Linked DNA regions of Caenorhabditis elegans. The protein of the gene in region 1 purifies or fractionates together with the protein of each later gene. This does not show direct contact. Each region holds a gene or a part of one and is shown on either strand. Other genes may lie near its edges.

Region 1 (5,101 bases):
TTTGTTTTTGATTTATCATCCTTTATCCCATATTTGAGCCTTTAAAATATGAAATAAAGGATTATAATTCAAAAAAAGTCAATTTCGGGCCGCAAAACTGGCCAAAATTGACAAAATTGACATTTTTAGTTAAATCAGGCAATTTTTTTTTTTGAGCGTGTAGACCTTAAAATACGTTTAAATGAAAAAAAATCCTGATGAAAATTCGAGAAAAATGGCCTAATCTAGCTAAAATCTCCATTTTTGGCCAGTTTTTAGTCCAACATTGGAGATTTTTAGCTAAAATTAGGCCATTTTTCTCGAATTTTCACCGCGAAATTCGCTATTTTACGATTATTCTATCAAAAATCACCTTATCCGTAGTGAGCCTGGCAAAATGAGCATTCTTCTCCTCCTGAGTCATTCGATGCGGCGGCGTCGGCTTCAGGATTACTTTTGGAGGATCTTCTGGAGCAGCATCCGGCACATCTTCTGGAGCAGCAGCAGCAGCCGACTCCTCTGGCGGATCCTCTTCAGTCAACTGTGCTGGTAGCTGATCACTAGCCTTCGGAATCGGCGTCGAGTAGGTATCCGTCACCTTAACCTGGAATCTTCTCGGCTCCAGCACTGGCGTCTGATGTTCTTGTGGAACTCGTTCCGAAAGTCGGCGAGTCGGTGAGCGGAGCAAGTCCTCCTGAGCCATAGATGGTCTTGGCGCTCTGCTAGAAGCTCCTGGTCTCTGCTGAATCACAATCACTTCCGCGGATCTTTGAGCTGCAGCAGCCGGAAATTGTGGAGCCGCCCGTTGACGGTTCATCTGCTGAAGCTCCTGTCGTTGCTCCGGAGTCATTCTGTGAGGAGCCACGTCGACAACTCTGTGCGGTGGAGCAGCTGCTGGAGCAACAGGATGCTCAAACTCTTGGGTATCCATCGGACGAGTCACATGGGTCGGACGAGCACGATTATTGTTCGCCGCTCCTCCAATCATTCCAGGTCTAGCTTGTGGTGGAACACGACGCATCGGATTAGCTCCTCCACCTGGCACCGCATTCACGATATGCTGATAAGAGCCGGGTGTTGGATCCGCCGGAGCCGGGGCAGCACGTTGCTGTAAGCTTCCACGTGCTCCAGCTTGATGATACATTTGTTGTTGCTGCTCTCGAGCTCTGTTGATCGCGTTGGCGGCCGGCGAGTTTCGTGGTGGAAGTAGCCCGCGCATTGGTAGACCATTTCCAAAATCGTTCATGACGCGATATTGCGGACCATCTCGGACGACGCTGAAAATTCAGATTTTTAATGTTTTCTAGTGTTTTTTTTAGTGTTTTTAAAGGCTTTTTTAGGCTTTTTAATGTGGAGTAGCGCCAGTGTGGAAATTGCTTTAAAACACGCCTATGGTACCACAATGACCGAATATCATGATAAAAAATTCAAAAAAATTTTCTAGATTTTAAATGATTTTTTTTGAAAATTGAAAAAATCTCAGTTTTCCCCTAATTCCTATTTGAATTTCCGCCAATTGGATTTGTTCGATGGAGCGCGCTTGCACGTTTTTAAATTTATTTATTTTAAAATTTTTGTTATTTTCCACCGATTTTTAATGTTTTCGGTGTATTTTTGCTCGAATTTTAGAGAAAAAGTCACAATAAATGCAAATTTTCGATTAAAAAAGCACGCTTACAGGCGTAAAAATGAAAAAGTAACGCTTTTCAACGATTTCAAACCTGAATTAACTAATGTCACTCTAATTTCAGGCGTAAATCAGTGAAATTAGTTAATTCAGGTTTGAAATCGTTTAAAGGCGTTACTTTTTCATTTTTACGCCTGTAATCGTGTTTTTTAATCGAAAATTTGCATTTATTTTGACTTTTTCTCTAAAATTCAAGCAAAAATACAACGAAAACTTTAAAAATCGGTGGAAAATAACAAAAAATAAAATGAATAAAAATAAAAACGTGCAAGCGCGCTCCACCGAACAAATCCAATTGGCGGAATTTCAAATAGGAATTAGGGGAAAACTTAGATTTTTTCAATTTTCAAAAAATCATTTAAAATCTAGAAAATTTTTTTGAATTTTTTTATCAAGATATTCGGTCATTGTGACCACATAGGCATGTTTTAAAGCAATTTCCCCACAGGGTGTAGTCTTTATTCAGGCCTTTTCGGGCTTTTTCAGACTTCTAAGCCTTCCATACCCTCTCTGCTGCATTCTCGAATCCATTCCACCATACTCCACTTGATTTCCACCGATCGAGAAAGGCTGCGCAGCAACCATCGGCCGATTTTGAATATTATGGCGCACAGGAAGCTGTTGCTGCTGGGAAGCCACTGACGTTGATGGAAGACCACCGCCCGCCTGCTGGTTTCGTCGGTACTGTGTTCCCGGGGATCCCGGGCCGACGGCGTCTTCGGGCATCCATTGCTTGACAATGTTGCAGTCTTCGTCCAGGCCGGCGATACACGGGAACGGGCCTTCTGTCGGGAGAATGATTCGGTCCGCGGGATCCGGCGGATCGTAGTTGTGGTCCTGAAATATACAGAAAATTAAGTTTTGCATTGCAAATATTGATTTAAAAATGGAAAATAGCCTCTAAAATCGAGATTTTTCTTTTTCCTTACACTATACGGCAACCAGAAGTTTGCCCTCAGAATCGCCTCTTCCACATCAGTATCATCATCAGAATCGATCCAAACTGTGTCTTCAGTCGGTCGTTCGGCTGCCAATTGTTCTTGTTCTGTCAATGGACGAGCATCTGCTGCTGCTGGTTCACCAAAATTATTCGCTCTCTGCTGTGGAGCAACGTAGTTTGGCGGATTGTAGGCCGCCGGTTGAAAGACTGGAATCTGAGGAATCTGCTGCGGCTCGGGGATTTGCGGTTCGTGGTAGAATTCCTGATTCTCCATTTGATGGTCAACTGGGTAATTGTCTGGAGCCTCGTGTGTCGCTTCAGAAGCTTGTGGATCCTCTGAGACTCCTTGAATGGGCTCTGAAAATTTTTAAACTTAGATTTCGCGCCATTACACAGCAAAATCCTACCTTGAGCCATAACAATTGGCTCGGCGATTTCGGGTTGTTGTTGCTGTGGTGGTGGTTGCTCGAAGAGCTCCTCGTCGGCTGGAAGCGTATGCTCTCCGTCTGCCATTTTTCCTTGTCTAGCGACGACGACTTTCTGGCATGCAATACTTGACGAACCTGAAAATTGACAAAATTAAGGTGAGAACAATCGATAAAATTAGAAAAACTATCGAATACGCCAGGAAAAAAATTGAGAGACATGAAAAACCAAAGAAAACGCCAGGAAAAATATCAAAAATCAATAATTTCCGCATGATTGTGGAGAGATGTTTGAAAAAATCGTAGCATGGTTTTATTACGCTTTTCTTCAGATTTTACCTACTTTTTCAATAAAACTAATCATTTCTAACGTTTTTACATCAAAAAACTGATCAAAAACCTGTCGGAATATTTTTTTCCAGCCGATTTTTCAAAAAATTCAAAGCCGTCAGAATTCTCAAACTTCTGAGGTTTCTGGTCAGCAGTAAGCAATTCCAACATGATAATTCCATCAAAAAAAGTACGGAAAATGACGGAAAAATTGCGAAATTATTTTAGGATTCGCATCCAGAAGTTTCTTTCCCGCCTTCCGCATTTGCGCGTAAGGTTGTGTGCAAGTGCACACACCAGATTCTACCGTACTCTCGCCTCGCGGAATTCAAATTATTTTGCGTCATTCACGAAGGAAATCGACAATATAAAGTTGTTCCGGGGGTTTTTTCGTATAATTTCAGATTTTATATCGATTATCACGCCAAATAATGTATTTTGGGTTGAAAAAATTGCATCTTGGCTCATGGAATTGTTTCTCAGTGAGTTTTTTGCGAATCTTCCCATTAATTAAGTATTTTCTTCAGGTTTTCTCGTCTTCTGTGGACGTTTCAACTTCACTCATCTTTCTACGTTCACCTTGTCGAAGGATTCTTCTCTGAACTGAAAATTCATCAACGAAATATCTCTAAAATCTCTAATTTCTCGAAAATTGTGACCGATGGCGGTGTAATTCTGTTCCACTGGCGTCTATGGCGGCCGTTATAACGATTTTATCGAATGGATTGCCTAATTTCCCATAATTCTTGCCCTTTCGCAGAGATTTTACAGGTTTTCCGCTATCTATCGCCAAATTTGGAGAATTATCGATTATTTCTGACGTCAATTTCTATGGATATTTGTTCGATTTCGACCGGTGAATCGTTTTGTGCCTGGACTGATGTTAAAAGCTGACTCTAAATGGGGAATTATTGATCTGAATATAGATTCGCAACTTTTTGCGTCTTTTGAACTTTCCACGTGCTATATTTTAGTCTTCCGTGGGCTCTGCGGAGCGATAATTACATATTCTTCACTGTTTCTCCCATGTTCAGATTAAATTACAGTTTATTCGACTTATCAATCATTTATTAAGGATTTTGACGTGTATTACTCGATATGGAATTTATTAATCCAATTTGTGGAGTGACGTTGTCGTTTTTTAAGCATCTGTTGCTCCTTGGACTGAAGTTGTCTTGGATCGGCTTACGATTCACTGATTTCGGTCTGAAATGACGAATTTATTTTTTAAATATTGAGTTCGAGCTCTTTTTTACGTAATTTTCTAACGTTACTCACTTTTTGATAGGTATTCCGTGCCAGCTAACTGTCCCCTATGCCGTCGGTGACGTTTGCCATGGTGGGAGTGGTGTTGGAGCTGCTTTGCCGGCTTATTTGGCTGGAACCGTCGACTGTAGTAGGGCCTTGTCTTATTGAGCACGATTTTTGCCTGAATTTTTTATAAAATTAGGAATTTTGCATCTTTTGGTGACAATGTACCGGGAGAGAGAAAAAAATTCGAAATAAATTATCAAGCTTTCAAAAAATTCCACAAACTTCAAAATTTCTCCAAAATTTCAAAAACGTTCTTGATGATTTTTGGAAACATTTGAACATTTACTGTGAAAATGTTTATAAGTAGAAAACGCCTACACTCGCAATATTAACCCCACCAACTCCCAACCCAATACCTCTTCTGTAGACAAAAACTCAATTTTTCCTAAACTACGGTAACCCTACCGTATACCTACAGTACTCCTA
Region 2 (6,097 bases), on another chromosome or scaffold:
CTTCGTAGTATTCGAGAGTTCGAAATATCGCTCACCATTCTGAAACAGATAGTTAGAATCCGAAAAAAGCTATTCTCGAATTGTGCAAACGATTTTTAACGAAAGTTCAGGTAAATACAAAAATCTGGCAAAGTTTCTTTGGTTAAATGCGAATGACGTTGTTAGAAATCCAATCTGGTAAATCACAACGAATTTTTACAACCTCGAATTTTGATATATCATATATCAAAGCGGAACTATTTGTGAATATCCAATGGTTTTTTATTGGGGCGCATGAATTTCATCTGATATTACAACGAATTGTGATAAGAGCTTGATACGATGAGTAGAGCACAGAGAGCAACGGCAATTGCCAGCCCCAGAGAATGAAAAATGAAGAAGAGAAGCCACACGAGAAAACAAAAGCGAGGCGAACGGAATAGCTTCCAATTTAGAATGTAGGAGTTGAGCAAGGTAAAAATAATTGAGTTTAAGTTAACAATTAAGTTACATCAAGATAACAAAACTGAATGTTTGAGTTTTGGCATGTGAGATCAGAAAAAACAAACCCTGACTAAAAAATGACGTTTTATTCAATGTACTACTCGCCTTTCTCAAGAGACAAGCGGGTAAAAAACGAAAAGAAAGTATTTCCGAGTACCTGTAAAATGAAGCGAAAGAAAAAGTAAATAGGAACGATATGGATGGTGCTGGCGGATAAATGAATGAGTTTGAGTGTGAGTTCTTTCTCCCCTTCAGTGAGTGCTGCTCATGCCGCGATTTTTTTTGCGTTGTCTCTATCTCTGAAGCTCGCTGGCTGTCATGTTGGATCTGATTTTCGAAATTGTAGCGGAGGATGCTTCCTTCTTCTCTCGCAACATTTTGACATCTGGAATTACTTAATTTTTAGTTTTTTTAGTATCCGGATTTTAGAATAGTACTTTCCAATCAATACAATCAGATTTTAACGATCAAGTTGGTCTAGTTCAAATTTATTAACTTCAAAAGCTTACTTTTTTTCGAATTTCTATTTGCGCCGTTTTGTGATCCTAAAATAATATGAAAGCTCGTAATTTTAGAATAAAAATAACTTTTTTGATAATACCCAGATTTTTCGATTTTTGCTTCAAAAATAAGGTGCCTGGTCTCGACACGTCTTTTTATAAAATACAAAAATACGTCCGCCTTTAAAGAGTACTGTACCTCTAGACTTTTGTTGATACGGGAGTTGCATCGATTTTTCATAGTTTTTCGTAAAAAATATATGTATTTATTTAAGAAAAAAAAAACTGAAATAGAACAATAAACCCACAAATTCTTTCCGATAATGAAGGCAATTATTAAAAAAATCGATGAAAATTCACCATCAATAGTTTTTAGGAATTAATCTTTTACATTTTCCCGGTGGTATGTTACAAGGTTTTATCAAAAATATTGCCAATTATATTTAGACATTCAGTTTCATCTTATCATCATCATCATCCCAATCCATCTTTCGCTATTCGTCAGAATCAATCAGTTATTTTTTCTTTGACAATCAATCACCACACACAATGTTCCGCGTGTAAAAAGAGTACGGTAACCTGGAAGTCCAGAAAACATTGACGGAGACCAGTTTGTTTCGACCGCCCGTGTGTATTTCTTGTCTAGTCCTCCTCGCTCCTTCCATGTTTCGTATTTATGCGCAGTGTTTCCACACACACTGCCGCTTGCCGAGATACGTACGCAACGCCTGTTGGCTGCTGCTGCCAATTTTTGATCATTATCGTACCCCATTGGTTCCTCCTTTTTTCTTGTCCATTTTAGGTTTTGTTCTTTATTATTATCAGTGTATCATTTAGAGATTATAATTCTACTGGCTCTTTTGTTTCAATGCACTCAACTTTTAATGTTACCAATTGTAGTTGAAAAAAGCAAGAATGATAATTATATTTTCAACATTTTGCATTTAGTTTCATAGATTTTAGTGCAAATTGTGTAGTTTATTGAGATCGAAAAAACGAAGTGTTTTTCTTCGAAATGTTCTGTTTGTTCTAACTTTCTAAATATTGCGAAATCTTTATAATGTTATTTCTCTTTTCGAAATTTTTACTTTCTGTTCAAATTTTGAGTATTTTTAATAACTCCCTTATAATGAAAACCCTAATTACACATTCTCGCATTTCTTTGCGTCTCATCTTCATTCACTCTTTTTTTTTCTCTCTACTTTCACCTGCTCTCACTCTCTCATTCTCTCTCTCGCTGTGATCTTCGTTTCCCAATTTTTTAACGAATTTTTTTTAGACTCGGTAAGAAACCTGAAAGAAAATATCAAAGAAAGCATGCACATCGACAATGAGGATGCTCTCTTCGATTGGCTCTCTGATGAGCTCTCGCCAATGTAAGTTTTTTCATTGATTAGACAGCCTACTTATACTTTTTTTTAAGAACTGACGCTGATCCAAATGCTCTCGCGAAATACGTGTTGGCTTTAGTCAAGAAACCGGATAAGGGACATGATGAGCTGAAAGCATTTACCAATGAACAGTTAAATGTGTTTTTAACAGACCGTAAATTTCATTTTTTGAAATGCTCACGTCATTCAATTAATACATTTACAGATACTGCTCCATTCGTCGACAAAGTCTTCGAAGCACTCACAAGCAAAAGCTATATGCCGGCATCAACAGCGCCTACCTCTGCTTCAGCAACTGCGCCTGATCTTAAAAAAGAAAAGGCACCAGCTGAGAAGCCATCGAAACCTACAGCTCCACCGGGTGTTCAAAAGTCAAGCAGCTCTCCTTCAGCCAGCAAAGCCGAGTCCCGCCCATTGCGCAAGCGAATTAGTCCACCTCCATCGGAAAATCGAGAAAAGGAGAAGCAGTCTCGTGACAAGGAACGCCGTCGTTCACGGTCCCCAAGAGATCGTCGAGGCCGCGCGACTACTTCAAGAAGTGGGCGTACTTCATCAAGTGATCGTGATCGTCACAGCAAACGTCGTTCTCGATCCAGATCACGGTAATGAATTTTAGAAAAGTTAAATCCCATCTATGTGTAACCATGGCTAACTTTGATTCGGGTTCTGATTAACTTATAACATTTTCAGATCATCCAGTGGCTCAAGAACTCCACCATACAAATCAAGAAGCAGTCGTCGTCGTTGTAAGGATTTCGAGGAACGTGGATATTGCATTCGCGGAGATCAGTGTCCATACTATCACGGTCGTGACCCGGTTGTAGTTGATGAGAATGCACTTGGGTCAATGGTTCCACTCCCGGCTACCGCTCCTAATTTCTCGTACGTCCCATGTTTATCTAACAATTCTTTGCAAAATCTCCCTTCTCATGATCTAATCTCATACAGTTGCAGTCTGCCTCCACCCGGATACAATCCGCTCAATCCACCTCCACCAGGAGTCGTCGTTGCCGCTGGTGAATACAACCCTGAAGCTCCTGCTCTCAACAATTACAGTATACCACCACCGCCGATCCCTGGACAATGGCAACAACCACATGTAGCTGCACAATATGTTCCCCAATCTGTTTCTTCTTACTCTCAGCCACCACCCGCCGCTGCTCAAGGAGTTGTTACTCAGCCGGGTTCTTTCCGTGGAGCACCACGTGGAAGAGGAAACATTAGAGGTCGTGGTGGATTTGCCCGTGGAGGTTTCACTGGAGCGATCAATAGAGATAACTGTACTCTTCAAGTTGCCAAGATTCCACCAGAGATGAACACGATCGCAAAGCTCAATGAACATTTTGCCACATTTGGAACTGTCGATAATATCCAAGTTAGATATAATGGAGAAATCGATTCAGCTCTGGTTACTTATGCTTCCAAATTTGACGCTGGCAAAGCTTACAAGTCTCCAACTCCAGTTCTCAATAATAGGTTTATTAAAGTATTTTGGCATAATCCTGGAGGCGAAGGATCCGAAAACGCAACTGGAAAGCCGTCATCTCCAACTTCTCCACCAAAACCTGTCGAAAAGCCGAAGATTGCCACAGTGCAAGAATCAAAATTTGTCAGTGTTGCTGCTCAAAACTATCGGAAGCAGATCCAGGATGCTAAAGAACGATTAACGAAAGAGAAGAGTATTTTATCGACGCTAGTTCAGGCTCAGAATCAGCATAATATTATTCTTGACAAGTGGATGGTTAAACAGAAGGAGTTGCTCATCAAGGCGAGAACGTCTACTGATGAAACTGATAAGAAGAATGCAACCAAATTGGTCAAACATCTGCATAAAAAAATAAAGGCATGCAAGGAAGAAGTCGACGGAATCCTGCTCAAAATATCAGAAAAGTCAATGGTGGTTGATGAGATTGCAGCCCAAATTGAAGAGCTTAAAAATCCACAAAAATCGGACGATTCGACCCGGAAGCGAAAAGCAGGAAGCGATGGAGACGAGCCCCAATCTAAAATGAGCAGTGTTGTCATCGTTCGAGGTGTAACAGTGAGTTTTCTTTAAATTGTAGATTTTAAAAACACATTATTTCCAGGATGAATTGGTCACTGATTTGATGGCACATATGGAGAAGTTCGGTGAGGTTTTTGATCACAGTGTTAAAGCCGACGACGATGGTCTCATAACAGCCGTTTTTCCGTTTAGAAAAACAGGTGATGCGTTGAAAGTGAGTTTTCAGTTTAAACGGGACTCGATTTTAAATAAGATGTTAATTTTTAGGCAATGGCGGATGGCAAAGTTCTGAATGGTGTGGACCTCGAGATGGAATTGAAGACGGAGCGAATCGAGGAGATCCCTTCAACTGATACGAACATGTCTGCCGACCAGTTGCTCGCTGCAATTCCGAGCAATCTTGAGGTAACTTGGTTTTCACTTGAAAATTAAATTTAAAAAAAGATTTCAGTCTGACGAAGAAGATGACCTGCTAAATGATTAGTCCTAGTTATATTAGAACTTTGATCTCAAAATATTGTCTTGGTGATCTTACTCGTTGTTTCCAAATGGTTACTTTTCTAGTTATCTGGCTGGTTAGCCTATTTAACCTCAGATTTACCTCAATTTTTCTTCCCGTTTATTATTGTTGCCTATCAGAAACTGTTTCGATTTTTTCTATTGTATATCCATTATAATTTATCACATTTCCTCTCTTATCATTCTTTAATTGTCTTCAGTTTAACTGCCCATTTGGCAATACTTTTTCATCTTCATTTTTTATTGTTCTTGGCTAAGAACTTGTCATGTGATCTGTTCAGAATCGCAATGATTATTGATTTTTACCTGATTCCTTGACAAGTTCCCATTATTTTTTCGTTCATTTTTGTTGTTTGCATTATTTCTATCGATATATCTCATTGATGAAAAAGCCAGCAAAAAAGAGCAAAAGAGAGCAATAACTCCACTAAATGAGAAAAATAAAGTAAAAGAATACATAATGGCTGTGATCTCGAAAAAAAATCAGCGAAAGAATAAAAGACGGGCCACTGAAAAGTGAACGAGTACAAAAAGAGCCCCTCCCGAGTGACGAGTAAAAAACGAGTTAATTTTCAATAAAACACAGGTATTTTTGCGGAAACCGGTGTGTTTTCGTCGTATTTAGCCGTGAATTGCCAGAAAATAAATGATTTTAATTTTTTTTTTCTTTGTTCTTTCTTAACTTTATTCCTCCAATTTTTCTTGCTTCGACGTTGCAATCGTCACATTTTATCTTTGATTTGATCGTCATTTCATTTATTTCCGAATTTGAACGCAAAAAGCTCGAAAATCAAGGTTTGTGACTCCTAATAATTACTGCAGAAAGTAAGAAATTCTCGGCATTTTGAAAGGCGGAAAGATGAACTATCCTAGATTGGCGCAAAGGCATTGATCTATACTGTCTGCGGCGGCCGGTTTCTATTAAGCTTTCATTTTTCTCCAGCACATTCTTCAGAAGCGCCACATTGCTTTAGTCGGAAATGCGGGTCATCTATTTAGAAAGTTTGGCGCTTTGTATTTGATTTAATATTAATTTTCTCATCTGATTCTATTTATTAGTCACAGTATCTCGTGCTGCACTCTTGTGACACGTGTCCTTTTTTCAGAGTTTTTAATTGCGTCACGATTTTCAAAATTTCTCAACAATGCGCTCGCGTTCAATAGGTTTTTCTTCTCTCAAAAAGCATTTTTCATCACTT

What was found.
Region 2: the proteins of set-9 (region 1) and rbm-26 fractionate together in Caenorhabditis elegans (co-fractionation; one large-scale study listed by BioGRID). This does not show direct contact.

The regions. Positions count from the first base shown.
Region 1 is NC_003282.8:4,305,964-4,311,064, reverse strand, and holds the start of set-9 (Histone-lysine N-methyltransferase set-9), read right to left. Parts: upstream 3,170-5,101; 5' UTR 3,120-3,169; coding exon 3,014-3,119; intron 2,964-3,013; coding exon 2,596-2,963; intron 2,504-2,595; coding exon 2,172-2,503; intron 1,257-2,171; coding exon 353-1,256; intron 1-352. UniProt on the Caenorhabditis elegans protein: Histone methyltransferase. Might play a role in transcriptional regulation. Together with set-26, negatively regulates lifespan in a germline-independent, partially daf-16-dependent fashion.
Region 2 is NC_003281.10:5,709,286-5,715,382, forward strand, and holds rbm-26 (C3H1-type domain-containing protein), read left to right. Parts: upstream 1-2,256; 5' UTR 2,257-2,300; coding exon 2,301-2,359; intron 2,360-2,406; coding exon 2,407-2,528; intron 2,529-2,579; coding exon 2,580-2,976; intron 2,977-3,064; coding exon 3,065-3,256; intron 3,257-3,322; coding exon 3,323-4,415; intron 4,416-4,461; coding exon 4,462-4,593; intron 4,594-4,646; coding exon 4,647-4,784; intron 4,785-4,823; coding exon of another isoform or gene 4,824-4,830; coding exon 4,831-4,863; 3' UTR 4,864-5,559; downstream 5,560-6,097. Other genes in the region: hpo-28 (Major sperm protein), read right to left, coding at 1-38; B0336.12 (uncharacterized protein), read right to left, coding at 777-860.